Notamacropus eugenii: one gene and its partners. The protein of the gene in region 1 interacts with the protein of each later gene in a pairwise test. Links are inferred from orthologs where the notes say so. Each region holds a gene or a part of one and is shown in the gene's direction. Other genes may lie near its edges.

Region 1 (7,526 bases):
TGATTAGATTGAGATGATAGGAAAAACCCAGTTCCTCTATACTTTGGTTATATGATAGGTTCTTTACCTTTATTAACCTGACTATGTGACTTTTAAAAAAGCAAGTCATGTCACCACTAAAAAAATCAATCATCTGAGTCTTATGAATAAGGCTGATGAATTGAGAACAGAGGATTTTCCAAATGCAGGTAGAGATGGAGCCGAATTCCTATTTTCTTAATTTTCATATTTCAGAGCAATATTTCATTTCTTTCCCCCTTAGGTTAAATTTTGAATCTTGCCAGTGCTGTGGTTTTCCAATGAGTGGCCCCTGAGCCTCTTTTAGAAGGCCTCCAGTAAGGAAGAATCTCCTTCCTCCTGGAAATCCATTCTCCTTCTGGACAGCTCTTATCATTAGGAAATTTTTCCTGACATCAAAAGCCTACATCTGACTCTGGGAAACTTCCTCTCATTGCTCCATGTTTTGTCCTCTAGGGTCAAACAGAACAAATCTACTCCCTGGTAGCCCTTCAGCTACTTGAAGATTCTTATCATGTTCCACATAAATCTCCTTTCCTTCAGGCTAAGCATCCTTCAATTGATCCTCATATAGTATGATCTCAAGGCCCTTCAAAATTTTTGCTGCCTTACTTTGAACTTCCTCTGGCTTAGCAAGGTCCTTCCTAAAATGTAGCACCCAGAAATTAATACAATACTCTGGGGGCAACTAGGTGGCATGGTGGAGAGAGTGCTGGGCTTGAAGTCAGGAAGATGAGTTCAAATAAAGCATCAGACACTTACTAACTGGATGATCCTGTACAAATCACTTAACCATTGTCTGCCTCAGTTTCCACATCAGAAAAGGTGCTGTGCTCTATGAGCAAAGCAGAATTGAGACAGCACAAAGGAAACGTAGGATGTGCAAATTTGGAGTATCCACCCAAACATTCACATGGACTATCTGTGCCCAATCTGTAGAACAGCATTTCGAGCTTGTGTTGGTCTGATCAGCCACAGTCAGACACACTGAAACTTCACTTTATCATGGTGATGTCATTTTGGTTCTCCTCAAAAACAAAGGACAACAGCCAACCAACTAATCAGTCTCAGTTTTCTCAGATATAACATGGGATTGATAATTATAGCACCTATCTCCCAGGGTTGCTGTGAGAATCAAACAAGATAAGGTTTGTAAAGTACTTAGCACAGGGCTCCGGCACATGGTAGATGCTTAATAAATTCTTGTTTCTTTGTTTTCCTTCCTAGATGGAGTATAGCTATTGTGTATTATGATACAATAGGACTATCACCTCCCAGACATTATTACTCCTCAATGCAGCCTAAGATTGCATTAACTTTTTTGGGTGCCATATTATTACACTGTGGTCTTCTGTTAAATAAGTTTCAAGTTCCCTAAAACCCCTGATCTTTATCTGATGAAGTGTTGTTTAGCCCACCCTCTTCCCTACCCATGATATATTTATGAAGCTGATTTTTTTAAACTCAAGCATATTACTTTAAATTTTTATCTTCATCGAATCAGTCCAATACTCTAGCCAATCAAGATCTTTTTTGCATCCTCACTGTGTCATTCATTGTATTAGTCATCTCTCCCATCTTTGTGTCATCTGCAAATTTTATAAGCAGACCATCTATTCAAGTCATCAATAAAAACAGTACAGGATAGCAATACCACTACCAGACATATAGTCCTATGTCCTAAAAAGATGGAAGAAAGAAGAACAGGAGTTATGTGAATAAAAATATTTACAGTTCTTCTTGAAGTGTCAAAGCAATGGAAACTTAGGGGGTGTCCATTGACTGGGGAATGGCTGAATAAATTATGGTATATGAATGTAATAGAATAATATTGGACTGTAAGAAAAGCTGAAATGGATTGTTTCAGAGAACCTTGGGAAGATTTGTATGAACTGATTCAAAATAAGGTGAGTAGAATCAAAAAAGTAATTAATACAATGACTGCATCACAAAGAAAAAACAACTTTGAAAGACTTAAAAACTCAAATCAATGCAATGAACAACCATAACTCCCGAGGACTAATGAAGAAACATATCACCTCACCTTCTGACAGAGAAATGAGGAACTCAAGGTGTATAAATTTTTAAACATGACTAAAGTGGGAATTTCTTTTGCTTGGCTATGGATATGTTACAAAAGCTATGGATATTTTTTCCACTGGAAGGGGGAAGGTGCAAGGGAGAGAGAAGATGGAGATAAGATTCCCTCCTTACCCCCAAACAGAGGAGAAAATAAGGAAGGTCAGAAGGAATATAAATTAAGCAGAACAGCTTAGAAAGCTACATGTGAAATTATATAAAAAAAGAAGACATTCAGTTTCCTGTATAAACCTCTCTGTCCTTTATGAAGACAATCATTTTATTTGATGTTTGTTAAGTTCAGAATAAAAAATTTAAAACCCCATAAATTTTAAAAAGCACAAGGTTAAGTACAAATAAATCACTGGGACATTCCGCTGGAGACTTACTTCTGAATTGATACCCAGACATGAACTATTAATTCTTCTGGTCTGGCCTTTCAATCACTTTTTAATTCACCTAATTGTACTATTATGTATCCCATATCTTTCCATCTTTCCCACAGAAAACCATGAGAGATTTTGTGAGTATATGTGTACCACTTATGTATGTATGTATGTATATAATACACTTCTCAGTGTCTTGTTGAGGGTACGCAGAGAAGGAAACTCCTCTGCTTGGTTCTCAGTGACTAGGGCTACCTCCAAGATAACTGGTAACTGAGAGTCAGAATAGTTGCACTTTCACCATAGTCTATAAAAGTGATCTGTGAAATTGTTCAGTTCCTTCCTTTTCTTGCGCTTTCTTTGATCTTCCAAACTAAAATACAAGCAATAGGAGAAAAGAGCAACCTATAAGAAAAGCACATTACAAGCCTGAAATTGAAGATTCCTTAAGTTTAAAATTTGGGCATAGGAGGGAGATTTCCTCAATACTGTCCTGGAAGGCATAAGAGGACCGATAACATAGAGGCTCATCCTGCAAATAAAGTATTGAAGTCATTTGAGGAGGGTGGGAAGAGGTCTGGACCTCTTTAGTTCCACTATTATGAGCTGTGTGATCAGCACAGGTCCAATGTGAAGGGAGATTGTTCAACAGCACCCCCAAAGTGTTTTCATGAGTCTAACAGGTTATTTGAGTGATGTACGTTTCTCTGTTTGCTCATGGACCTCTGTGAGTCCTTTGCATCTTAGGCATTTTCTCTGGTGAGGGAAATCAAGTCTGTTGCATAACTTGTGTTTGAGTGCGAGTTGGAAACTTTGCCAATCAATTAGCATTTATTGAGCTCCTACTATATGCCAGACACTGTGCTAAGTGCTGGAGGAAAAACAGTGCTTATTCCTAAGGAGCTTACAGTCTGATGAGAGAAACAATGTACAAATAACTGTACAAATGAGACATTTGGGGAAACTAAGAGGGAGAACTCTGCCTAAGCTTTATTTTAGAGATTTACCTGGAGAACTCCAAGTTAAGGTATATCAAGGCAAAGAGAGAAATGGACTACGGAGAGTCAGTTCCATAGGATCAAATCTAGTAGAGTGAGCCCAGAAACTTTGAGAGAGCTTCTTGACCACATATCATATCTCAGTGTTTAACACTGCCCTGCTCACTAAACAAATGACTGTGAAGAAAATAGAGCCAGAAAAGACCTGAAGTGCAAAGGAGAAGACTGGGGAGGACAAAGCAGAAGACTGGGCAGAGGCAAAGGCTGGGCAAAGGACAGGACAAGAAAATGGGGATAACCAGAGGAATGCTAGGCATGATCTGGGTGAGGTGCAGACAAAAGGCTGGCCGAGGATAGGGCAAAACCCGGGCAAAGGATAAGGACTAGCAGGTAACCGGACAAGAGCTGGGCAGAGGGCCTGATAAGAACTGGACGGGAACTGGGGAGAGGCAAGATAAGGACTCTGAAGAAGGCTGGTTAAAGTCCAGTAGAGGGCTGAACAAGGATCGAGCAGAGAGCTGGGCAGAGGGCTGCGCCTCCCACTTCTCTGAATGGAACTGAGCCCAGGATGCGGGTCCCGAGCCTGAGCAAAACCATGGCAACGAGGTAACATAGCAACGCGCCCAGAGCATCAGGCCTCCGGTTCCTCTGGGGCTCCAATTTCCCCGCCCTTCTGGTGCTGCTTCCTTACCCGAAGGCCCAGAGAACTGTTGAGAAGGAGGGAATTACAGGTCCAGCAGCCAATCAGCGAGCGGCATTCTTTCCGAGAAGGAGGGGATGCCCTAAAGCTAGAAGCGGAAGTTAAGGGGTGGTCTTTCTATTTGTGACCAATGGCCATAATGAGGAGCGGCCTCTGTTCCTCATTCCACCACTTACGGAGCTGGGCTCGAAGAGGGGTGGGTTAGGGAACGCAGGGTCTGTGGGCGGAGTCTGAGTGACAAGAGGCAACGCCCCCGCGCCTTTCTGGCAGCAAGTGAGGAGGCCAGAGGTGGGGCCTTGCCGTGGGAACAGCCAATCAATGACACGGCCAGGGCCCGGTGCGGGAGGCGTTAAGCCAATCGGTGGGGGCGGCGGGGCGGAGGCGGAGCGGGTGCTGCGGCAGGAGGGAAGATGGCGGACGAAGAGAAGCTGCCGTCAGGCTGGGAGAAGCGCATGAGCCGCAGCTCAGGTGCCACGGGGTGGAGGGAGGGCGCGCTTGGGTCCGGGAGGAGAAGAATGAGTGCGGACACCCCGGGCTCGGGCCCTGCACCCCTTCCCCATCATCCCACGGCCTGCGGCCCTGTAAAGATAGCCCCGCGCGATTAGTTCTCCCCCACCCCCCAGCCCCGCCCCAGGAAATGAGGAGGCCAGGTAACGGGCCGGCCTTGGACCCCCGGCATGGGAACGGGGCTGGGCTCCCCGGGCCCCTTCGTGTCCTTCGCCCTTCCCCATCGAAGGAACCCCAGAACCTGTAAAGGCCCAGGGGCGATCAGTACCCCGTTCCCCCACATAAGAACCAAGGGGATCAGTGCTCTCCCCCACAGAAGGGGGATCGATTCTCTCCTCTCCGAGACCAGGGGTGAAGAGTGCTTTCCCCTCCCCCTCTCCACATAAGGCCCAAATGATCTTTGCTCCCCATCCCCCTGCCCCATATAAGGCCCACGGGGAACAGTATTTCCCTTCCCTCACCTTAGGAGGGTCTGTGCTCCCCTCCCCAAGACCCAGTGATGAGTGCTCTGCCCCCACGTAAGGCCTACGAGAGCAGTGCTCTTCACCCTCCCCCAGCTCCCCTCCCTCCAGCTTCCCTCCCCCCATATAAGGCTCAGGGGGATCAGTGCTGCCCTCCCCAAGACCAAGGGGGATGAGTAGTCTCTCCTAAGTCCGAGGACAGGTGATCAATGCTTCTCATCCTTCTACCCCACATAAAGCCCAGGGTTATCACTGCTCCAACCTCCCCCCACATAAGGCCCTGGGTAACCAGTGCTCCATCTCCCCCCCACATAAGGTCCACATGAGTGATCAATGCTCCCAGCATAAAGACTAGAGGGATTAGTACTCCTCATTCCCCTCCCTTCCTCGCCCACACACATACGGACCAGGGTGATCAGTGCTTCCCACCCTACATAAAGCCCAGGGTTACGGGTGCTCTCCACCACCCTGTCCCATGTAAGGCCCAGGATGATCAGGGGTGCTCCCCTCACGTAAGGCCCAGGGTGATCCCTGCTTCCTTTTGCCATAAGGCCTAAAGTGTTTGGTGTTCCACCCCCATGTAAAGCCCAAGGTGATTGATGTTCCTCACTCCAATATGTAAGGCCCAAAGGGTTAGTATTCACCCCATCCACATAAAGCCTAAGGTGATCAGTGTCCCTCCTCCCATTCCACAAAAAGCCAAAAATGACCCTATGCTCTCATCCCATTCCCTTCAACGCCCAGGGTGACTAATGCTTTCTCTCCTTCCTCCACCCCACTCAAGGCCCAGAGTGACTGGTACTTTCTCTACTCCTCCCCCCTCAGTGTCTAGAGTGACCCAGCCTCTTCTGTGGCTCTGGATGACAGGTGCTCACCCTGTTCTGCCTTGCCCCTTTTATGGTTCAGGGTCATCCCACCCTGTACTTCCCAAGACCCAGGATGACCAGTGGCTTCTGTTGCTTCTATGGCCCAGGGTAACCAGTGCTTTCCTACCTGTCTGCCTTGTATGACTTAGGGTGACCTGTATGCCCTCTGTTTCACCTCAGCCTCAGTGTGTACCCCTATCCTCCCCACTTTCTAAGTGTGTAAAGCCCAATGTAACGTGTGCTACACATTCCTGTTCTGTCTCTGTAGGACGAGTCTATTACTTCAACCACATCACCAATGCCAGCCAGTGGGAGCGTCCAAGCAGTGTGGGCAAGAATGGTCAAGGTGAACCTGCTAAGGTCCGATGCTCACACCTGCTGGTGAAACACAGCCAGTCTCGGAGGCCCTCATCCTGGCGGCAGGAGAAGATCACTCGGAGCAAAGAGGAGGCGTTGGAGCTGATCAATGGCAAGTACTGGGTGGGAGGAGCCTGGGGGGAGACAAAGGGGAACTGGGTCCAGAGCCCAAGCCAGCCTTGGATATGGAATGGGTTGCAGTACCTGGAAAGGAGCACATGTGCCCAGGGCCTTGGTTTGGATTTACTGATGTGGCTTAAGGACAGAACTCTCCCTTTTCCTCTGCTCCCTGACCTCTGTAACACCAAGATGGTCTTTTTGTAACTTTTATTGTCAATGTGTATTAATACCATTTGTTAAAAATAAAACTGATCCAAAAAGTGTCAACCCATGGTCCGTAACTCATCCTCCTTCATACTGCCGTTTAACCGTTAGCATCTTTATAGCAGATAACCTGATGCCAATCTCTCCCTCCCTCCCTTTTTCTAAAAGACCCTGACCAGATGCTGATTCCCTTATGCTTAGCCTACCCTGGGGAAGGAACTCTTTATCTCCAGGTGGGGGCAATGTCCTTTGTAGGCCCCATTTCTTGCTGCAACAAACATTTACAAGGTACCTGTTATGCCTAGCACCAGTGCTATCCTCCTGCCTTGCCCCAAGTTAGGAAGAAGGAAGAGGAAGGTGGGGTACAATCCTAGCCTTACAGAACTTAAGGGAAGCTAGTAAGGAGAAACAAAATTAAAGCACAGAAAGTGGTTTAACATCATGAGGCCACCATTGCCTAAAATGTGGGGCAGACACTGAGTTTCACTGTCCAGGTTCAGAAGAAGAGAGCTTCGTGAACTTGGGATGGGGTTCATGGAAGAGGGTGGGTAGGATTTTAATGAATTAATGGAAGAGGGCAGTCCAGGTGAGAGGAATGACTTGAGCTAAGTTATAGAGATGGGAATGCAGAAGATACGTTTGGAAGGCATTGAAGGAACTGGCATGTGTGTTGGAGAATTCTAGAAGAAAGGCTAAACAAAATTGGGACCAGTTATTGGAAGGCATTGGATGCCAGACTAAAGAGTTATGATTTTATTGTTTAAACAGTGGGAGCCATTGAAGGTTTTGGAGTAGAGGAGGAATGACTTTACCATATTGCTGCATTAGAA
Region 2 (7,874 bases), on another chromosome or scaffold:
TCTCATTGGTAGCCCTCGATCCTCTCTGCTTCTCAGATACAGGATTTGCAGCTGAAAAAGGACAGTTAATCAAGAAACAGAGGCTGAGGAAGCAAAGACTTGGCCAGGGTTACTCCGCTGGTCAACGAAAGAGCTTGGATTGGAACAGGGAGCCAGAGAGAAGGGACCAGGGAGGAAATGTTACCCATCATCTAACCCACACCCTCATTTTATTTTCTTTCAAAATGTTTTATTCAGTCAATCAAAGAGCATGTTTTATTTTTAATCCTTTTATTCTGAGGCTAATGAATACGGAAAAGAAAGGATGTTTCCGGATACAAAAGAGGATGAGATGTGGCCCCACACATCTCTGTTATGTACAGCTTGCTCTTTTTAAAGGTATTCGAATACATCCAACATGTTACCCTCAGAGCTGGCCTTCTTGTCAAGGGCTTCCTTCTGAACTCCTTCCCTTCCCAGCTGTGCATTATGAAAGCTGCCTCAATGACCCTCTTTTAGTCCTTGAGGGGGTCATATTTGTCCCCTCCCTCCAGAATCATCACCCAGGAAAAAGGTAAAAAACATCTTCCTTGTTAAGCAGTCAAGCAGAAGAGAGCTGTATGTGGGCCCGGGCCCTAAAATGTAGGTCTCCGTTTGCACCCCCTTCTGTCAGCAGCGGGGTGACCTGCTCCATCATTGGCTTCTGGATCTGGGGCCTCTTTGTGGTCATTGTGGAAAGTGTTCAACCTTTCTGACTTTGCCAGGAGCTAGAAACAGCAGGTGGGACCGCCCCTATTCCCCTATTCTTTGGGGGGGAGGCAATTGTTTCTCTTTCTTCCTCTGTCTCTCTCCCCTTCTCTCTGTCTTTCTCTCCTCCCTTCTTTCTCTTCTTTTCTCCCTCTTGCCCCCTTCTCTCTCCCTTCTCTCTCCTCTCTGTCCCTGTCTCTGCCTCTCTGTCTCTCTATCTGTCTCTCTGTCTCTCTCTGTCTCTCTGTCTCTCTCCCTCTCTCTGTCTCTCTCCATCTCTCTGTCTCTGTCTCTGTCTCTGTCTCTGTCTCTCTCTCCCTCTCTCCCTCCCTCCCTTTCTCCCTCCCATAAAACTCAATTTCTAAAAATCCCCAAACCCTTCCTTGGAACAAATAGATGTAGTTGAGGCGAAGCCTCCAGGTGTTGCCTTTGCGTGACAGCTTATGCCTTGTTCCACACCTGTTCTCCGCCACCTCTGCCGAAGGAGAGGTGGTCCATCTGCCGAGGTCACAACGGGAAGTGGCTTCAGTCTGAGGACTGAAGTCAGTCTCCACGCCTTTCTGGGTCTTCCCCACCTCTTGACACCCTCCTCCCCCATGCACCTCTCAATTATTTCCTGTCCAACCCAGCGTATATTCCGTTCCATCCATACCCAATGTTCTGTTCAGCCCTTCCCTTCCTCAAAGGACCTTCCCTTCTAGCTTTTTGCTCCCCCGGAAAAGGGCTTCTTTAGGAAGGGTTCGGGCACAGAGGGGACCTTCTCCTCTTGTCTTTGAGCCTCCTTTGGAAAGTGTCGATGTTGAAGGATCTCTCTCTCCATCTTGGGGTATCTTCGATGGCTTTCCCTGTGCCCGCAATGCCCTCCCTCATCTCTGCTCCATCCCCTGTGCCCGCAATGCCCTCCCTCATCTCTGCTCCATCCCCTGTGCCTGGAATGCCCTCCCTCTTGGTCCCCACCTCCTGTCTTCCCTGAAGTCTGTATGAAATCCCTCCATCAAGTAGCCTCTCTCAGTCTTTCTTAATCTTTGAGCTTTCTGCCTGAGAACGCAGTTGTTTGTGTCTGCATCTTGTTTGTATTCAAAGAGATGGCCCCTGTAATAACACACCAACAACCTTGTTTGTACAGGGCGGGGACCGACTTTGGCCTTTCTCTGGATCCCCAGCAGCTAACACAGCACCTGCACATAGTAAGCGCTTATGAAACGCTTGTTGACGCAGGAAGGCGTTTCTGATAACAAATGCCCCTTGGCCCCCATATTGGAGAGGGAAGGGTTAGTCTTCAAGGGGCCAAGTGGGCTGCTCTTGGTTTACCGGAGAGGAAACAGAGGCCCAGGGAGAGGCTAGGCACTGGCAATGCTGGCAGTCAGACCCAGCTTCCAAAATCTTAGGAATGTCAGACGGGAAAGAGCCCTTGGTGGCTCTTGGCTCTCGAGGCCCAGAGATCCCGGCCCTGACGCCCTCTCTTTCTCCTCCTCCAGACATTTCGAGGGCTTTTGTTTTGGCTAGGTTGGGGGCCGTGCTGTACTGTGGGTTATGAGTTTAGATAAAACCCCAGTTCTGGCCCAGACGTCGGGTCCTTTGGATGTTTTCTAAATCTCTGGCTATTTACCTGGCTTTGTAAGTCCTTCCCATCAGCAGCATGGGTGCCAATCTTTTTGTGGTATGTCCTTCACTCCCACTCGCTTCCCCCTGCAGTGACTCCAGTGTATACTTTGGCTCAGCCTTTGTTCCATTGCCATCTTCCCCCTTTTCCTCTTTCTTCCCAGCTCTCCATTGTCTCAGCCTTGCCATCTTCTAGACCATTTGACTGCCGTACGAGGTTCCGATCACTTGTGGGGCTCTCGATGTTGGGTGATACAGATGTTGCTGCCACGTACGTCTTTAGCATTCCATGTCATTTTCCAGTTATGCCAAATCAGCTTGCCACTCTCTGCCTCAGTTTCCTCATCTGCAGAATAAGTATAACGATAGACCTTACTACTCTTTAGGAGAGGAGTGTTAAAAAAGCTTTTCTAAAGTGGTGGGCCTTGGGAAGCCCCTGCTTTTGGCGGTCCTACAGCCAGGAAATCTCCTCCCAGCAAAGTTGGTTGATTTCTATGTGATACTACTTAGAAAAATCAATGATGAGCCTTCAGAAGTTGTTGGGGGGGGGGGGGAGGTTCCGAGGTGTAGTTAATGGCCGGAAATGACCCTGGGGAGAGGACAAAAGGACTCCTTCATCCTCCTTCTGAATACCTGATTCCTTTGTGTTGGATGAGACCATATGCAGATAACCCCCAGCCTGGATGAAAGTAAGTCCCTGCCCCCCTTAGGCTTTTGGAGGGGGAGAAAGGGGAAGGGGAAGGGGCTGGGCTTCTCTCCCTCACTCACTCCTCTGTGGGTGCAGGTCCTCAGTTGGTCTGTGGCCTCCCTGGCTCTGTTGGTGCTGCTCTCACACCTATTAAGGGCACAGAGATCCTCAACCACAAGATTGAAGCTATGGGATGTAATCAGCTGTCAGCAGCCAGGCTCCTGAATGTCCTTCTGCTGAGATTTCTAGTGTCCTATGTCTGGCCTGATGAGGGCAACACTTTGGATTGTTCTTGTAGACGGTCACACAGACAGACCCAGTTTGGTCATTTTCCTGTGCTCTGTTGGCATCCATTGCCCTACATCTCTATGTAGCTGGGCTGAGTGGTGGGTTTTCTTTTTTTAATTTTCTGGCTAAATAACACATTTTTTCAACCTAATCAGAGCCCTTTCCAATCTAGGAAACTGAGGGCCACAGAATGGATGACCTTCCTAGCCTAGTGTCTGGACGTAGTAGGTGCTTAATTAATGCTTCTGGGATTGGATTAGGGATAATTGAGGAAAGAACCTGAGCAATGGTCTCATTCTGCCGATAGAATGGAACCCTTGAGAGCAGAGCCCATTTTTCTGTTTCAAAGTCCCAGGGGGCCGTGAACTTCCCAGGTAAGGGCTTGTGGCCAGTAGCTTTTTGTTTTCCCAGCCTGACAGGAAGCATGGGAGAGTGGGACCCTTTGGCACACAGCAGGTCCCAGCAGACTTCGGGGACCTTGGGGTGGCCTGAGCACCTGCCTCTGGATTAGGATGGCTGAGGAGTTTTGGCTGCGGCATTGCTTTCTCTCTACCTCAGTTTCCTCATCTGTAAAATGGGAGTCATAATAGCATCTCCCTCTCCAGGTTGTTGGAAGAACCATATGAGACATGTAAAGTACTTTGCAAACAAATGCTAGCTGTTATTTTTGGTGGCGGCAGGGTAGAAAAAAAGAAGGGAAAAAGGAAATTTGCCCAATAATTTTGCTGTATGTTCGAAACGAATAGCAATGGGTTTAGTTGACTTATAGTTTCACGTACAATTGTCTTTTTATTGTACTGTGTTATGGACATGCTTATTGTATTCCATAAATATGTATTAATGTAAGATTCACTCAATATTTCTTCTCCCTCTACCCACCCCCCAGTCATCCTACATATTTTTTTGGAAAAAGGCAAAAAACCCCCAAAACCCTGAAAACAAATAAAACAGATGATCAGGCCGTTGAAAAGTCTGAACGATCTTTGGCGTGCCCACCTCTGCAAATCCATAGGAAGGCTGTGCCTTCTCCAGTGCGGTCTCTGGGGCCAGCCTTGCTCTTTGTCTTTGAATGTTAGCTGTCAGTATTACTGTACACTTTCTTCTCCGTTGTTCCCCTCCAGCCCGTCTTTTGAAGGTGAAGCTGGGAGAGAGAGAGGAAGTGACTTGCTTAGGGTCACATAGCTGGTAAGTAGGTGCTGAGGCCCAATTCCTGTCCAGGTCTCCTGACGCCAAGTTAAGTTTCTCCCTCTACATGAGGTTTCCTGGACTTCTTTCTTTCTTAGCGTTTGCTCCCATTTACTCCCACAAAGCCTTGCTGGTTGACCGCTGTGAACCTCTCCTTTTCTAAGGAAGCCAGGCCTATCCGTAGGAACAGCAATCTCCTCTCTGATAATTAGAAACCCAACCTTATTGGTGGAGAGTGTCTTTGGGGGATGACTGGTAACAATGGAGAAAACGTACTTAGGTCAAATATAGAAACAGAAGTCACTCACTAACTCCCTATTTTTAGATTTCATGTATATAAAAGCAGAATAGAGGCTGACCATATATTTTATTTTGTTTTTAAGGAAGTTGAGCTGATGGGTTGAGGGTGGGGCCTGGGAGAGAGGCTACTGAGCCATGGAATTCCAGGGATGACTCTCAGAAGCCCTAGCCCAGGGCTTGGAGGATCTGGGAGTCACTCAGCAAAGGAGAAACTGACTTTGGATGTTCAAGATTCCAAGGCTTGGGTAAGGAATGGCTCTCATTGAAAATGCCTGCGTCTGTCAGAATGGCCTCCAGAGAAGGTTGTCGCTCAACCCTGGTTTTGTTGATGTTGTGTTAGGGATTCTAATCCTGTTAGGATGTCTGCTCCTAAAAAGGCCCCAAAGTTAAAGGCAAAGAAACGGGTGAAAATGTGTTGTTCGGGACCCCAGGAGGCTGCCATTTTGTCAGCTTGGGATCTCTGTGCCTTCCTCACCCTCTGGCAGTCAGAGTCTGTCTAGAAAGGCCCCAGTGGGCTCAGTCTATGGACTTACTCTAAGAAATTGAAATTTGACAAGACATCAGGCCTTAAACTTGTTTTTAAAAAATTCATTTCTTGAGTTTAAAATAGGGGAGTCATGGCCAGGCGGCTGTTATTCAGAAAAAAGATCTCCGTGTTTGGATGGACTGACTACAAGTTCAGCATGGGCTGCAGCTGGGGTGAGCATTTCCTCCACATTTTACCTCAGCTTTCCTGGGACAGCCGTTAAAAGTGTAGGAATGTGGCTCCTGAATGTGGAGTGGAGAAATGGAGTGATTGGGCCCAGGCAGCACAGTGGCCCACTTCAGACAATTGGACAAGCACTGAACCCCACCCCCTTCAGTTTTCTTATCTTTAAAATGGGTATAGTAATAGAGTAGCCAACCTCACAGTCTTCAAGCATCAGATGAGAGAGAGAGAGAGAGAGAGTGTGTAAGGTGCTTTGCACGCTTTAAAATGCTGTTCTGCCTGCTGGTTCTAAGGTTATTCCAGAGGGCCCAGGGGCCACTGTCTGGAGTTGAACCCAAGGGTCCTCCTGTCTGCTGAGGGAGGATAGGAATCTCCCCTCTAAGCTGGGAGGCCTGGTGGGAATTTCTCCAGGTTCTGAAGTGTTGCCTGAGGTTCGTTGGGAGGCAGAATTGTCCTTCCCCAAAGGCTGAAGCCTGAAAATGTCTGTGTTTTCCCCTCGTGCCCTGGCCTGATCAGACTTTGGCTCTGCCCTTTCCCTGATGACCTGTCTCCTGCCACTGGGTTTTCTGAAAATTTCTGCAAAGCAGGGAGGGGCAGAACTGGCATTTAAGCGCCCAACTACTATGTGCCCAGCACTATGCTAAGTGCTTTAAAATATCTCATTTGATTATCAGGACAGCTCTTCCAGGTAGTGGCTATTACCCCCATTTTACAGTTAAGGAAACTGAGGCAGTCAGCAGTTACATGACATGCCTAGGATCACTTAGCTAGTGAATGTCTGAGGCCGATTTGAACTCAGATCGTCCTGACTCCAGACCCAATCCTCCAGCTTCAAGCTGACCCCGTGGAAGGAAGGCCAGCATCTTGGATGCTGAAAAGGGCCTAGGAGGCAAGCAAATACAGCCTACACCTGGGCTAGACTCTCCTCTGAGCCTCCTGGGGTCATCCAGTCTTTCCTTTAGGCTCTACTGCAGCTAGGTGGTGCAGTGGATAGAGCACCAGTGCAGGAGTCAGGAGGACCTGAGTTCAAATTTCACCTCAGACACTCGACACTCACTAGCTGTGTGACCTTGGGCAAGTCACTTAACCCCAACTGCCTCATCCTGGGTCATCTCTAGTCATCCTGATGAATATCTGGTCACTGGATTCAGATGGCTCTGGAGGAGAAGTGAAGCTGATGACCTGCTCAGCCCTCCCTCACTCAAAACAAAGTCAAGTGCAAGTCATGTCATCATGTCTCTGATGGCATGGTCTTCTTCGGCAACGAAGGACAAACACACGCTGCCCAGGCAGTGAGAAGAGGAGTCATTTAGATAGGTGTGCTGTAATCATCCCCATTTTATAGCTGAGGAAACTGAAGAAAACAGGGTTAAAGGACTTGCCCAGGATCTCACAGCTAGTGTCTGAAGCTGGATTTGAATTCTGGTTTTCCTGACTCCAGGCATGGTTCTCTAAATGCTGCACTACCTAGCTGCTCTAGTATCCTGTACAGGGAACAGGAGATGGGCCCATCTGGCTGCAGTTCATTATGGAGTGAGCTTGAAGAGAAGGGAGTAGAGGGAAAAATCAGTCTGGTGAGAAAGGCTGACTAAACTATCATTCGTGGACATAACTGCTGGGACAACTTTTTTTTAAAGTGCTTGTGAGTGGGGGTGAGTAGTGATGCCTGGGTGGTGAGTGGGGGACGGAGAAACCTGCACGTTGGGAGGTCTTGTGAACATTCCAGAGCTCTCAGACGACTGGTACATGCAGTTCTGCGGCTCCAGGTTTTTCTGAACAGGGAGGAGGTGGGGAGAGGAGAGGAAGGAGGGGGCAGTGAGCAGCGATCTCCCATCATGCACCTTCTCCCCTCCCAGCTTCTCCAAGACATTTTACAGCAGGTGCTAGCAAAGACTGCAGCGACTTGACCTGGGCTGGAGATTAGAGATGGGATTTGAACTCAGAGAACCTGAGATCAAATCTGAGTTTTGACGTTTACTATCTGTGTGACTTCCGACAATTCCCTTAATCTCTCATCTGTAGAACCAAGGGGTTGGTTGGGATGGGCCAGCTGAGAACTGTGTGGTCTCATGGCCCCCCCTCCCAAAGAGCTTCGGTTTATGTGGGTTATATTTACTGATGCTTCTTGTATTTGAAATTAAAATGCCTTATCATTATTATAAATAAGTTTGATGTAGAAGAATCTTGGGGACCCCCCCAGACTCCACTTTGAGAATCGCTAGCCTCAGTCATCTCTAAGACCCCCTCTCCCTCTCAGTCTTGGATCCTTTCATCTCTCTGCGCCTTGGATACTTTCACTACTCACGTCTTAGAACGTTGTAAGAATCCCAACTGCTCTTAGGAATACCCCACATCGGAATTAGCCAAACTTTCCCT
Region 3 (6,619 bases), about 71 Mb from region 1:
ACTAGTCCAACCCTCCTCCTTCCTTCATAAAATCTGTATTGATGGGGAACAGCAAGTTACTCTAATCCTTTTGTATGGTGACCCTTCAGATACGAGCATCATGTCTTAGCAGCATCTCCTCGTTGTCAGAATGGGGCACTTCCGGCCTCTGCATGAGGCAGCTGTTTTGATGCAGTCTCAGTTAGTGGGCTGCCATGCTCCTCTGTTGACCCAGATGGAGCCTCTGGCCGTTTCACTCCCAAACCTCCTCTGGTCATTCTCTTTTGGAGAAGATACCCCAGGGGATTGCATTGTGCCTGGGCCAGTCTGGGCAGGTGACTCCACCTCGGTGTTGCTCTGGCCAAGGGAGTGTGCCCATCTGGGAGTTGTCTGAGCCACAGCCTGCAATTTTCAATTAGCCTTCCCTCTCCTTGACAGGTGGGCATCAATTACCAGCCCCCCACGGTAGTGCCTGGTGGTGACCTGGCCAAGGTGCAGCGGGCCGTGTGCATGCTAAGTAACACCACAGCGATCGCAGAAGCGTGGGCACGGCTGGACCACAAGTTCGACCTGATGTATGCCAAGAGGGCCTTTGTCCACTGGTATGTGGGGGAGGGCATGGAGGAAGGTGAATTCTCGGAGGCCAGAGAAGATCTGGCAGCTCTGGAAAAAGATTATGAAGAGGTGGGCGTCGACTCGGTGGAGGCAGAGGCCGAGGAAGGAGAAGAGTACTAGGGGGCAGCGTCACTTCCCACCCCTACAAGTATACCTGATTACATAATTTGTTTACAAATAAACATTTCCGTATTAAAGCAGAGTTTGACTCCTGCCTGTAGATGCCACTTTACTGGAATCCCAAGACCACAGATGCTTGTCTTCATGAGAGGCATCACCCTACTGTGTGGCCAGTGAGGGTTGGGGGAGGCCCTGCTTGGGCCACTGGGACTGCTGGGCTAGGTGGTGGTAGCAATGACCTTCTCTTGACAAAGACCTCCTAAAAATAGGGGCTTCCCACTGCTTAGTCTGCTCAAGCTTTTCTGGGACAGGCTTTTCTGCCCCAACCTAAGTCCACTGGAGAAAAAGGGAAACGGGATGCCAAACCAGCTCCTTACATGAGGGTGGAGAACCCCTGTAGCCCCCTGAGATAACAGCCCAGGATCAGGCTGGAGCCTAAGTGGCTTGGCTCTGTGCAGTCATGCTCAGAACCACCAGAGGGTGCTCCCGCCTCAAACGAGAGCAAAGGGAAGTCTTGTGGGTTCACAAGGCCCTGCTTGGGCCTTGCCAATGACCAGGTGGTGGAAAGAGCTTGAGGTCTGGAGTCAGAAGAAATCCTGGTTCCGTGCTTGCTACCTGTGTCTCCTTAGGCAAGTCCCGTTCTCTAGGCCTCAAATCTCCCTTTGTGCCATGTGATCTCTAAGACTCCTGAACTCTGTGCCCGCAAAGGGAAGCTCCCCAGAGTGAACTCTATAGCTTTTGGCCACTGTGAGGCCCACAGCGCCTTCAGAATAATGTTTTTACATGCATGAAAGAAAGGATTCCAAAGGAAACCTGTTGGGAGGCAATCAACATTTTTTTAAGTTTACAGACTCCAAGTTAAGATCTCCATGGATATGTGCAGGGACCTGAATAACCAATAGAACATAAATTCCTTGAGGGCAGGCAGGAGTTTTTCACTTTTGCCTTGAGTTTCCAGAGCTTGCGTGAGGGTATTCACTCAGGCCCCACTTGAGGGGCAGTCAGGCCACTGTCCCTTCATGGGGCTTCTTCTTTGCCATTGGCTGGAGCCTTCACCAGCTTTGTACACATGTACACACACACACGTGCACGCACATGCCCTACCTGTTAAGGGGCCAGTTTCATTTAAACAACATTGATTTGTTGTTTAGTCATTTCAGTTGCATCCAGCTCTTTATCACCCCATTTGGTGTTTCCTTGGTAGAGATATTAGAGTGGTTCACCATTTTCTTCTCCAGCTCATTTTACAGATGAGGAAACTGAGGCCAACAGGGTGAAGTGACTTGCCCAGGGGTCACACAGCTAGGGAGTGTCTGAGCTTAAGTCTTCCTTACTCTGTCTGGTGCTGTATCTACTGCAGCACCACCCAGCTGCCCTAACATGAATTAGTTTTTACAAAAGGATTTTTACTTCCATTCAGCCAGGACAAACATACAGACAGTTCCCCTAAAGTCAGCAGGGCATACTTTACTCATCCCACCTGGGTCCATAGACAGCATTTGTCTGCCCTAGTTCATGTCCAAAGGCATCATTTCTGCTGGAGGAGCCTGTCTCCCTTCCGGCGGGTGGAGGGTCTCCTGGCCCTGAGGCTGGTTTGGCCGCAGTGCTCCCCAAACTTCTGAGAGTCCCCTCCCTTCACAGGATGCCGTGAGGAAAGGAGCCACAGGTCCCTCCAGCCGTGAAAGAGGCTACCAGGCCTCCAGGAATGTCCCAGTAGCTGGCTTTGTTGCCTCATGACATAGCTAACCAGAAGCAGCAAGAGGGTGTTTACACATTTGAGACACTGACTGCTAACTATGGATCACATTGTCATGATTGTCCCAGAAGCAGCTCCCCAGGTTCTCCACGTGGGGTGGCACTGTCTGGAGGGACCTGGGCACACGCTGCATTCCCACTAAATAAGCATCGGTTGACTGGACTATTTTTTAAAGATGTGAAGCAAGAGCAGATGAATGCAGAAGCATGGTTGGCAGAGGCGATGAGCTCGTGTCCCCTAGCCTTCTCTTCCTGAAAAAACAGAACTGAAGTGGCTGATAATGCCTGAGATGAGCCGGGAGGTTGGATGAGAGCTTTGTTCAATTAACGTCAAAGGGCCAAGCTGATGAACTGCCTTCAGTAAAATTGTCATGAGGTCGCTGGGTGGATGGAGCACTAAGTCTGGAATCAGACCTGAGTTCAGATCTGGCCTCAGACACCTACTAGCTGGGTGACCCTGCGCAAGTCACTTCACCCTGCCTCAGTTTCCTCTTCTGTGAAATGAGCCGGAGAAGAAATCGACAAACCACTCCAGTATCTGCCAAGAAAGCCCCAAATGGGGTCAGAGTCAGACAGGACTGACCTGAATTCCTAGTTATTGTCCCCTTGAAACGGCATAAAGTGGGGCGGGAGAATGGATAAAGGGGCCAGGGCCCACCACGTCACGCAGCATTAAAGATCAGTGAACGTGGAGAAGGGAGTGGCAGACAGCAAAGCGCTGCGGGCCGAGATTCTGACCACGGCCTGAAGGGGTGGAACCCTGCCTACACGGGAGGGTGCGGGCAGCACGCGTGGGGCTGCCAAGAAATGGAAAGGGGGCACTTCTCTCACAGTGGAACAGGCCTCTCCCCCTCACTCACGATCTCCAAGGGAAGCCCCATCACGTTTTACAGTCAGGGAAACTGAGGCACTCCAAACGCAGCCCTCTCGGCGGACCAGAAGGGCCGACAGGCAGCGGCTGGGTGGATGCAGGGCTGGACCTGCAGTCCAAACGCTTCTGGACCCATCCCCGTTTCCAGCTTCCCAGCGTGTGCTCTTCTCGGGTTAGACCGCGCCCCTTGATTTGCATTTGCACCCCCGGCGCTCAGCCTGAGCAGGAGCCGGATAAGTGATTGTTGGCACATGGGTCACAGCGCCCCTGCGCACCTGCCCTCCAAGGCGATGGCGCGAAATAAATGCCCTCCTGAGACTCAGTTTCCCCAAATCTAAATCGGAAATATGAACTTCCCCGGGGAGGTGGGGGAGGGACGAGGGGAGGGGCTTACGCGAGGGACGACCTTCCCTCAGGCCGCACCCGAGCCAAGCACCGATCATTCCCGCCGGCCCCGCCCCAGACCCTCTGATTGGCAGAGACCTTTCCCCTCCCACCTCATCATCACACAGCCCCGCCCCCTCCCAGTCAGCGCCAGCCTTCCGAGCCTCGCTCTCTCCCCGCCGCCGCGCTGTATCCTGGGTAACCCGGCCACTAGCTCGTCTCACTGCGCAGGCGCGATCCCCGCCCCCTCTCCCGCCGTGTAACGGTGGGCGCGCTCTCGCGAGAGCACGTCAGCGGCGTCGCGATGGAGGAGCCGTGAGTGCGGCCGAGGGGGAGAGGGGTCGGGGGCGGACCCGGGAGGGGAGCAGGGGGCGAGGCCGGGCGGAGGGGAGGGGCAGGGAGGGTCGGGGCGGCGCGGCCCGAGCGGGCCGAGGGAGGACGCCCCGCATCGGCTGAGGCCACACCCTTCCATCCTTCCTCCCGCAGATGCCCCGGCACTGCTCGGCCGCGGGCTGCTGCACCCGCGACACGCGTGAGACCCGAACCCGCGGGATCTCCTTCCACAGGTGAGCGCGCCCCCGCCCGACGGCGCCTGCGCGAGCGTGCGCCTGCGCGGGGCGGGGCTGACGGCGTGGGCGGGTACTGCGCCTGCGTGGGCACGACTGGCCTCGCCTCCAGCAGGGGGCGCTGGGGGGCGGGGGGGAGGGGAGGGCGTGGGTTCACCTGCCCTGGGAGGCTTCCCCCAGGCCCCTACTGCTTGTGCGGCGGACACTGCCCCAAGGACTAGACGGGCCTGCCGTCTAAGGGAGACCTGAGGGCCTACTGTGTGTGGGGGGAGGGGAAGGGGAAATGCCAAATGATGGGGGGGGCGGGGCCCGCACCAAGACTTGGCCCAGGGCCCTTCTCTTTGACCACGTGGCCGCTCAGACCCCGCCCTTGGCCTTCCCTGGGTGTTTCATCTCCAGCCTCCGAGCCTTTGCCTTGGCTGAGCCTTTGCCCTGGCTGTCCCAGTTTTGCATGCCCGCTCTCCGTCCACCCGTCTGACCCCCCCCAGACGGACCAACCCCATAGCTCGGTCTGTCCACCCTGGGCAGCGGGCGCCGCTGTCGCCCTCATGTCACATATGAGGCCGCAGGGCGGGGGCACGCAGCTGGAGGAGCCCCAGTGCAGACCCCATCGCCCTGCTGTGCGCCCCGGGGGTGGGCTGGGGAGCCCCGCCCTGCTAAGGGCTGCGGGCGGGGCTCCCCTCAGGCTGCCCAAGAAGGACAACCCTCGGCGCGGACTGTGGCTGGCCAACTGCCGGCGGCTGGACCCCAGCGGGCAGGGGCTGTGGGACCCCGCGTCCGAGTACATCTACTTCTGCTCCAAGCACTTTGAGGAGAGCTGCTTCGAGCTGGTGGGGATCAGGTAGGCCCCGGGGGCGCCAGGGGCGCTGGGGGCGGGGGGGCGCGGCCGCCCGCGGCGCTCACCGGCTCTCCCTGCAGCGGGTACCATCGGCTGAAGGAGGGAGCCGTGCCCACCATCTTCGACTCCTTCTCCAAGCTGCGGCGGCCGCCCAAGGCCAGGGCGCACGGCTACCCCCCGGGCTCCCCTGACCTGGCCCGGCTCCGGAGGCGCAGGCGCCGGTATGTGTGCCCAAGGTGGCCCCCTGGGGTGGGAGGGAGGGAGGGCTGAGAGGAGGGGGCGGGGGGAGGGGCAGAGCCCTGGCCGCGCCTGACGCTTGCCCCCACAGCTGCCAGGCCGGGAGGGCACCCCCTGCCCCCGCAGACACCTCCCTGGCGGACGGGCCCGCCCCCGCAGACGTCCCCTGCTTCCCTGGGGAGGAGCCGCCCCCCGAAGGCCCCCCGCTGAGCCTGCCAGCCCTGCCTCCGTCGCCGGCCCCCAGCGGCCTCGTCAGCCCCTTCTCCGACCTCCTGGAGCCGCTGGAGCCCCACGGGGACGCAGCCAGCTGCGGGAGCCCGCCGTCCCCCGAGCGGGGGCCCTCGCCCTCGTCGGCCGCCCGGCCCGTGTCGCCCTCGGCCTACATGCTGCGCCTGCCGCCGCCGGCCGGGGCCTACATCCAGAGCGAGCACAGCTACCAGGTGGGCAGCGCGCTGCTGTGGAAGCGGCGGGCCGAGGCCGCCCTGGACGCGCTGGACAAGGCCCAGCGCCAGCTGCAGGCCTGCAAGCGGCGGGAGCAGCGGCTGCGCCTGCGCATCGCCCGGCTGCAGCAGGAGCGGGCCCGGGACAAGCGGGGCCAGGCGGAGCGGCGGGCCCTGGAGCCGCAGTGACCGCGTGGGCCCGGCCAGACCTCGGACCTAGGACCTCGGACCTGGCGGGAGCCCCGGCCGGACCTCGGACCTCGGACCTGGCGGGAGCCCCGGCCGGACCTCGGACCTAGGACCTCGGACCTGGCGGGAGCCCCGGCCGGACCTCGGACCTAGGACCTCGGACCTGGCGGGAGCCCCGGCCGGACCTCGGACCTCAGACCTTGGGGCCGGCGGGGCTCTCCTTCCGCCCACCTCCCCCGAGCGCAGGCGTCTGCCCCTGCCTGGGTCCGGCCCAGCAGCCAGGGGAGGTGGCTCCTCCCGGGGCGGCAGAAGAGAAGAGCCAGCAGAAGCCAGGGCTTTGTTCACTTGGCGCAGCAAACCGCTCCTTGGTGGCGACTAAAGACGCTGGAGACCCAGCTCCTCGCCAGGCTATTGAGGCCCCTCTCCTAGGAGGGGCAGCTGGCAGTGCCCACCGCTTGGAGCTCCAGGCGGACTTCATTGAAGGCCATCCAGAGAGGAAGTGATCAGTATGGCATCACACAGGCAGGATGGACGCACCACCCGCCTTTCTCAGCACACATGAAATCCGTGGTCATTCTTCCCACGAGCCTCCTGATGGGGTTTATTCTTTCTGAGAAGCCATGGG
Region 4 (7,969 bases), on another chromosome or scaffold:
ACAGTTCTATAGACCTTCAGTTAGGTAGTCCTCTCTCTCCCAAACTTTTCTTTGGAGCCTCCTAAACACTGAGCTAGCTCTGGCAATGCATGCATCAACCTCATTGTCAATGTGTACATCCCTGGAAAGTACACTCCCAAGGTAAGTGAACTTATCCACAGCATTTAAAACTTCTCTATTTGTTGTAATCAATGGTTCCATGTATGTATGGTGTGGTGGTGGTTGTTGGAGCACCTGTGTTTTTTTGGTATGTATTATTAGGCCAAAATTAGCACAGGCAGCAGAGAATTGATCCATCCTTTGTTGGATCTCAACTTCAGAGGCTGCATTGAGTGCACAATCAGAAACTGCAAACCAAAACTCATGCACTGACACTCACTCCACTTTGGTCTTGGTTTGTAGACTTTACAACTTGGAGAACTTACCATCGGCATGGTAGTTGACCTTGATGCTGTGTTCATCTTCATTAAAAACATTTAATAACATGGCTGAAAAAAAATCATGCTAAAAATCATGGGAGCAAGCACACAGTCGTGTTTCACTCCATTGGTGACTGGAAAGGTAGGAGAGCATTGTCCACTATCCAAAATCCAGACAAACAAGCCATCATAAAATTGACATGCAATACTGATGAACTTCTCTGGGAAGTCAAATTTTGACATAATTTTCCATAAGCCCTTATGACCAGCATGTCAAAGGTCTTAGTCAGATCTACAAATGTGTACAGACCTCTGTTCTGCTCCTAGTATTTCTCCTGGAGTTGTTGGGCAGCAAACACCATATCGACTGTTCCTCAGCCCTTTCTGAAGCCATGCTGGCTACATCTAGTATGTATGTTACCACCCTTCAAGTGAAGGATCAGCCTATTAAGGAGGACTCTAGCAAAAATTTTGCCAGCACTGACTAAGAGAGAGACTCCCTCCCCTGTGATGGTCACAGGATAATCTATTCCCTTTACCCTTATAGAGTTGGACAATGGAAGCATCCTTGAATTGCTGGGGGATAACTTCCTCTTGCCATATAAACTGGAAAATTTCAGTCAGCTTTTGTATGAGCAATGGTCCCCCTATCTTGTAAATTCCAGCTGGAATAGAATCCGCACCAAGTGCTTTGCTACATGAAAGGGGTCTAATGGCCCTCAAAACCTCTTCTTCAGTTGGAAGTTCAGCTAAGGACTTTAGCCTGAGGTAAACGGTCAATGGCCTCAGTATTGATGGATGATGGTCTATTTAGAACATGGAAGTGTTCAGCCTATCTCTCTAGGATAATGTCTTTATCACTAATCAATGTGGCTCCATCAGCACTGAGTAGTTGTGATGCACTATAGGTTTTGGTCCATAAATAGCTTCCAACGAATCATAAAAGCACTTTGGATTGTTACTGTCAGCATAAAACTGAATTTCATCTGCCTTCTTACTGAACCAGGAATCCTGCATCTCTCTAAGCTTTGCTTGTACTTTGCTTCTGGTGAAATTAAATGCTGCTTTCTTAGAGGTGGATGAATTATCCTGCTGGTATATCCTGTAGAGTTCTCGTTTTTCCTTTAGCAGCTTCTGAATTTTCCCATCATTTTCATCAAATCAGTCTTGGTGTTTGTGAGTGTTCTGACCCAGATGAATAAATTCAGTTCTGTACACCAAATCTCTGAGAGCTGCCCACTCCTTTTCTGCTCCACTGTTGCCAACTATGTGCTGACTCACCTTTCCCTCCAAGTTAGAAACAAACTGTTCACACTCAGAGAAGAGTTCTAATTTGTTGACATTAATTCTTCTGGCAGTCATTTTGCCTTGGGGGTGGCACTTTTGATGAATGTGAATATTTACCTTGGAAAGGATAAGTCTATGATCAGTCCAGCACTCTGCACCACACATTGCTTTTGTCACTCTCACATCCTCTGTCTCTTCTCCTTACAGTCACATAATCTACTAGATGCCAGTGTTTGCTGAGAGGGTGCATCTATGAAGTTTTATTGCATTTAGGTAAGCAAAAGACAGTGTTATTGATGAGAAGATCATGCGATGCACAAGTCTTCAGCAGGAAATGACCATTGCTGTTGCTGTTTCCAATTCCATTCCTCCCTAGGACTCCCTGCCGAGTCTGGTAGTCTGAACCTACTCTAGCATTAAAGTCACCCAGAATTATAATCTTGTCCTCTTTTGGCACATTGATGATAAGGGTCTCTAGGTCTTTTCTTTGACCTCATCAGGGTTCATCATGGTGGGAGCATAAGCACTGATGATGGTGGCATGGCATTTTCCTGCGAGTGGCAATCACATTTTCATGAGCCTGTCATTCACTCCATTTGGCAGGTATGCCAGTTTGCTGACTAGATTAGTGGGCAAAACCCACGCCAGCTTTACAGCACTCCCCTTCACTGCTCCCACATCAGAAAAAGGTGTATCCAGCTCCAATTTCAATAAGCTGGCCTTCATTTGCCAACTTTGTTTCACTCAGGGCTGCTATTTGGGTACGACACCTGTTGAGTTCTCTTGCAACAAGAGCAGTTTGTCTTTCAGGTCTACTGGATTTTGTGTTGCCTATAAATGTGTGCACGTTCCATGTGCCAATGATGAGGGGAATCATCTTTGCAGATGTTTTTGTACATTTTGTACATTTTTTTTGTGTTTCAACCACAGAGTGGGATTCCCTACCTACCATGGTAATCAGGCCAGGGTTGGGTAAGCAGACAATGTTTAGGGTACCTTTTCTAGCCCCCTTGCTTACACCAGGAGGTGAGCAGTGCGATCCTTAAAAGGCTGCTCAGGCACCCAGGGGGCTGTTGAGTCCCACTGCTGCTACTAGTGAGAAATGACCCTATGGACTGGGCCACCTATGTTCAGGGTCATGACTACAGCTCCCAGTGTTTCCACACCTGCTGCTTCATCACTTGCCTATCGTCACCCAACTTTGAGGCATAATAGTGAAATGGTATGGGTGATGTCTTTTGATTCATGAATAAATTGGATTTAAGTGAGGCAGAGTTTCATGAAGTTGTCAACCTCACTCTCTCTTCCAGAATCATTATAGTCCACTGGTCAAGGCAGCTAACTATGGTTCAAGATGCAGTGGATGACCTTGGCATCTTCAGTGTCCAAGCTCCAAGCTCTAAGCACTCCACATTGCCTGCTGCATCTGCCTTCATGGCCATTAGAACAAATTGTTCTCATCTGCCCATTCCACCAGAGGAAGTCTTCACATGCTTGGGGTAGACACCCCCCTAATTCACCAATGGGTCTGAGACCCTTTGGTTACCCTCATCTTGGTTTGGCCCATCTGCTGAAACGATTTACAGGAGTGTGGCCACTGTGCATGCTGAAACTTTTTGGAGCTACAGGTGAGAGTTGAGTGCAATAGGTGAACACCAAAGGTGGAGAGAGCCGCAAACAGGGCTCAGCAGCCATCACACCAAAGGTACTGCTCGTCCCTGAACACATCCTACACCCATGAAGAAAGTCAAGAGGTATTGTCAAAGTCAAGAGTGATCTTTATGAAGCAAACAGGGTGAATATTGATAAACATGCTAGAGAAAGTATGGAGTTCATTCTGGAGAGGAATGAGATAATAGAGAGGTTAAGTCACTTGTCTAGGATCACACAGCATTGTGTTTCATAGATGCAACATGCACCCAGGTCCTCCCACATTGAAGGTCATCTCTTTACCCAGAACAACATTCTTTACAACCTTAAAGTTCAATATGAATAATCTATTGTACTTATTGTAAGGTGATTTCTAGAGCTGTCATTTTACATTTTATGTTTTAACATTTTTGGTTAAAATCTCCTTCCAGATCAATCTAAAATTCTTGTGAATCTAACCAATCAAGACATGCTTGAGCATCTAGCATGTTTAAAGCTATACTGTCAGTGCTGAGGTAGGATGCAAAAAGCTGAGAATACAAAGTCTTTAATAAGCTTTCCTACTGAAGTCAATAAGCAGTTGGATGGCTCAGTGGATAGAGCTCTGTGCCTAGAGTCAGTCTGGGCCTGAGTTCTAATCCAGCCTTAGATACTTACTAGCTGTGTAACCCTGGGCAAGTCACTTAACTCTGTTTGCCTCAGTTTCCTCACCTGTAAAAGGAACTAGAAAAGGAAGTGGCATACCACTCCAGTAAAGAAAATCCCAAATGGGGTCACAAAGAGGTGGAATTGCTCTCTCTCTCTGAAATGAACTAGGAGTCTTGTGTCATCACATTTTATACTCTTTTGGGGGGGGGGTGTCAGGTTGGTTAGGAATCATAGGATCATCACTTTAGAGTTGAGACCTCAGAGGCCACACCTCTCATATTACAGATAAGGAAACTGAAGCTCAGAGAGTTTGTGACTCCTGCAAACTCTCTGAGGGCAGTAATTTTCCCCCCTTTTTGTAGTTCCAGGGTCAGCACAACGCGGGGCCAGTTAGTAATCACTTAAGGGTGCCGGTTGACTTGTCTTGCCTTGCCCAGGGTCACACAGCTAGTAAGCCTTTGAGGCAGTGCTGAACCCCATTATTTCTGACTTTTAGGCCCTCGCGATAGACATTCTAAGGTAAGAGACCTCCGAGCCCACCTGGTCTCATTTGACAGATGATGAAACTGAGGCTCAGGTGAATGAAATAACTCCCACAGGTAGTAAGCATGAGAGGCTGCATTTCAGCCCAGAGTTATCTTGCCTATAAGAGGGCGCTGCTAGGGGTTTCTCCTTCGCTGACACCTGGAGAATCTCTGGGGCTTTTAGAGAAACTGGTCCTTCACTTATACTTCCCCAGGGTCTCGGTGCCCAGAGGCCAAAGCCTCCTTAGGCTGGCACCAGACCCAGGGGGTGTGGGGGGGTGGGGCTCAGGACTTCCCGCGTGTCAGGCATTTCTCCCAGGCCCACCTGGCTCCCGAGGCAGCAGCTGCATCCTTCCTCGCCCCGGCTTCTCGGGGGAGCCTGGGGTGGGGGTGGGGGGCGGTCTGGCCCGCGCGGGGAGCGCGCCCAGCCCAGGAGCCCACGTCTTGCGCCAGCTGGCTGACGAAATGCTGAGGGGCTCCCCTATTCGGGGGAATGCGGTAGTGATGTATAGCGTATGAAAGATGTGGCCTGCGGAGCTCGGGCGCTCTGTCTCCGCGGCTGCCTCTGAGTAGCTGGAGCTCGAGCTGCGGCTCTCTGGGAGGGAACTGTTGAGGATATTCTGGGCTTAGACGCCGTGCCCAAGTCTTTCTTCTGGAGGGACCAACGTGGCATCCCTCGGACGCCCAGCCCGGGAAGAGGGACCCCTCCAGAATCCTAGCCCGGCATGAACTGAGCGTCTGGGGGAATCGGGGAGAGCTGGCCAGTCGCTCCCTCCCTCCTGCCCCTGCAACAAGAGGATGAGTGGAGCGAGGCTGGAGCAGCGAGCGCAGTGCCGGCTCAAGGTAGGAGGGCGGAGGTGGGAAACTGGCCGGGTGGGAGCCTGGGGCAGCCTGGAGGCGGGGGGACGTGCCCCTTCCCCAGAGCCCTCTTTCTCAGACCTTCCTCCTCCCGCGAAATGGGATTTGTCTTGCCCCGTCTGGGTTCTGGGCACCTTGCTCTCCTCGACTGCCTGGCAAAGGCGAGGGGGAGCCCGGGCGCCTCGGGAGAAGGCTTCAGAAGCGGGGAGGGGTGGGTGGAGGCGGCCAAGAAAAGAGCGAGAAGGGGGGGAGGTGGTGGTGAAGTGGGGGGCGGGAGCAGCCCCCCTCCCAGTCTGGCGTCCGCAGCCTAGGGAGGGATGGGGGCAGCTCTCGATGGCTGGACCTTGCGCCACTCAGGGTCAGGGGGTGGGCAGTGGGGGAGATGCTTGGCTGCGGCACTTGAAGGTAAAGTTTTGTTTCCCACTCCGAAGGCTGTCAGCCAGCCTGCCTGGTGGCCCCGGAGCCCCTTTCGGCCAGGCCAAGTTCGTCCTGGCTCAGGGCTTCCTGTTCTAGCCAGGCGAAGCTGAGCAGCGGGCTTGGACGGGCTTTGGTCGTTACGCGGAGGTGGGGGGACCAAGGGAGCGCTAGGGAGCCAGACCCTGAGTCTCACTGGAGGAGTGGGAGAAAGCTCCCTGGTCTGCCAGGAGAAGCCCAGGCGGTGTGACCACATCGAGCAGAGTAACCCTTCCAGGGCTGGAGGGGAGCAACTTGCCTGGGATTTGAGCCTCGCCTGGGAGGAAATCGAGGCACCACTCGGTCGTTCTCCCTGCGCTCTGATCCTTGGCTCTAGTCAGCCCCATCCCCTCCTTCCCGAGATGAACATGCGGGCAGGGAGAGCTGCAGCCTGCGTGCAGGGGACTCTTTGCCATTCCCCCCTCTGAAATGCGGGCTTCAGGCTTATCCCCACCCCTCAGTCTGTATCTTGAAGCCTCCTAGGAAATTAGATGATTAATCAATTAGGTTAGTGGCCAATTAGGCGTAACCTTGCAGGGAGACCGCTATGCATTGGCTTCATGAGATTTGAGTAGAGGCTTGGGTGGGTGGGCACCCGAATTTTCTGAGCTGTCACAGGGGTATCTGGTCAGTGCTTTCCAGAAGCTTTTTTTGGGGGGGGTAGTTTGGAATGGAGGGGGAAGACAGTGGATTGATTATCTCTGATAAAACGATTCCTTTGGATTAAGCATCACTGCAAAGACTGAGCTGGAAATCGAGGGGAGGCTTGGCAGAGAGGTGTGTCATCTTCAATCCCCCTAATTCCCTCCTCAGCCATGCCTCAGAAGGTCTGTTCCCTTTCAGAGGGCCCCCTTCCTCACAAAGCTGCTGGCAGGAGAAGGGGGAGATGCACCAGCTTTCCTACCCCAGAAGCCCTGAGGGTGGGGTGCAACGGGACCAGGCTCTTGTATGTAGCCAATCTTATTAGAAACAGCATCTATAGAAGGGTGCAAAGGCAGCCAGATATATTTCCAGCACCCTGAAGTTGGGTGCTGAGCATCTTTTTTTTTTTTTCTTTTATTGCTGGAGAACCTTAGCACTGCAGTATTACAATCCAGCCATATTAAAGAGGTCTTCCCAGCAAAAGAACCCTTAGAACACTGCAGCTCCAGCTTGGGCTCCACCAGCCTCCAATGGTTAAGCCAGCCAGGCTAGAAACACAGCAGTGGCTTGGAAACACCCACGACCCTCTCCAGACACACATTGTAAATGGCTTTTATTTATTTATTTTTATCTGTTTTCTCTGATCACTGTGGAAACGCAGATTTCTATTCAGATGGCAAAATGCCCACAGCTCCCTGTTGAAATGCATTTTCTTTTGCAACAGGTCCTACATATAGGTTTTCTTCCAGTAGCTTCAAGTCCATTCTGGGCCTCAGTTTCCTCATCTTTAAAATAAGAGGTGGATGGGCTTGAAGATATCTAAGCCCCCCTTCCTGGCTGAAGATTCCACAGGTTCTGGGTTCCTGAGGTTTTCTTTATTTCTCAGTTGAGCAGAAAGTGCCTGGGAATGAATGGTTCTGTATGATAGTATCTGACTTCCCTCTGTGATGCAAGGAGTCTGGTTTCAATGGATTGGGGGTGGGGATGGCTTGGACTTGTTAGCAAATAGAAATTATCCAGTCCCATGACTTGGCCCTGATGAGTATAGGCTCTGAGATGGAGTCAGACTAGACAACAGGCTGCCTCCCCTACCCCTTTAGCCCCAGACCAGGAAGGCACACTGCTTTCCCATCTACTCTACATCTGGCTTTTGTGAGATACAATACAGAACCCAAACACCCAGCCTTTTTTTGTGACAATGTTCAGTGTCCAGACTCTTGATCCTCTGGATTAGGAGAAAATTCTTCTGCCTGTGTGTGTGTGTGTGTGTGTGTGTGTGTGTGTGTGTGTGTGATGTCTAGGGGTATATGTGGGAGAGATGGAACAAGGAAGAAGGCAGCAGAGGGAGGAGGGGATAGGAGAAAGGGAAAATAGGAGAAAGAGGGAGAAGATGATGAAGACCAGTGTATGCTTTGGTTACATTGTTTGAGGGGAAAAAAATCTTCTTTAAAATGCTCCCCTGCTTCTACTTCCTCTCCAAATTCAGAG

Evidence for each region.
Region 2: the proteins of PIN1 (region 1) and RBPMS interact in binary tests that used the Homo sapiens proteins (3 or more experiments, as listed by UniProt). The two-hybrid records come from large-scale screens. The link is inferred for Notamacropus eugenii from reciprocal best matches to the Homo sapiens genes PIN1 and RBPMS.
Region 3: the proteins of PIN1 (region 1) and THAP7 interact in binary tests that used the Homo sapiens proteins (3 or more experiments, as listed by UniProt). The two-hybrid records come from large-scale screens. The link is inferred for Notamacropus eugenii from reciprocal best matches to the Homo sapiens genes PIN1 and THAP7.
Region 4: the proteins of PIN1 (region 1) and DAB1 interact in binary tests that used the Homo sapiens proteins (3 or more experiments, as listed by UniProt). The two-hybrid records come from large-scale screens. The link is inferred for Notamacropus eugenii from reciprocal best matches to the Homo sapiens genes PIN1 and DAB1.

The regions. Positions count from the first base shown.
Region 1 is NC_092875.1:80,258,762-80,266,287, forward strand, and holds the start of PIN1 (peptidyl-prolyl cis-trans isomerase NIMA-interacting 1), read left to right. Parts: upstream 1-4,524; 5' UTR 4,525-4,591; coding exon 4,592-4,649; intron 4,650-6,283; coding exon 6,284-6,484; intron 6,485-7,526. UniProt on the Homo sapiens protein: Peptidyl-prolyl cis/trans isomerase (PPIase) that binds to and isomerizes specific phosphorylated Ser/Thr-Pro (pSer/Thr-Pro) motifs.
Region 2 is NC_092878.1:167,536,657-167,544,530, reverse strand, and holds the start of RBPMS (RNA-binding protein with multiple splicing), read left to right. Parts: upstream 1-4,859; 5' UTR 4,860-4,938; coding exon 4,939-5,034; intron 5,035-7,874.
Region 3 is NC_092875.1:9,169,164-9,175,782, reverse strand, and holds THAP7 (THAP domain-containing protein 7), read left to right. Parts: upstream 1-4,460; 5' UTR 4,461-4,580; coding exon 4,581-5,131; intron 5,132-5,208; coding exon 5,209-5,349; intron 5,350-5,456; coding exon 5,457-5,994; 3' UTR 5,995-6,115; downstream 6,116-6,619. Other genes in the region: tubulin alpha-3 chain, read left to right, coding at 418-714. UniProt on the Homo sapiens protein: Chromatin-associated, histone tail-binding protein that represses transcription via recruitment of HDAC3 and nuclear hormone receptor corepressors.
Region 4 is NC_092873.1:518,367,083-518,375,051, reverse strand, and holds the start of DAB1 (disabled homolog 1), read left to right. Parts: upstream 1-4,964; 5' UTR 4,965-5,371; intron 5,372-7,969. UniProt on the Homo sapiens protein: Signaling adapter of the reelin-mediated signaling pathway, which regulates the migration and differentiation of postmitotic neurons during brain development.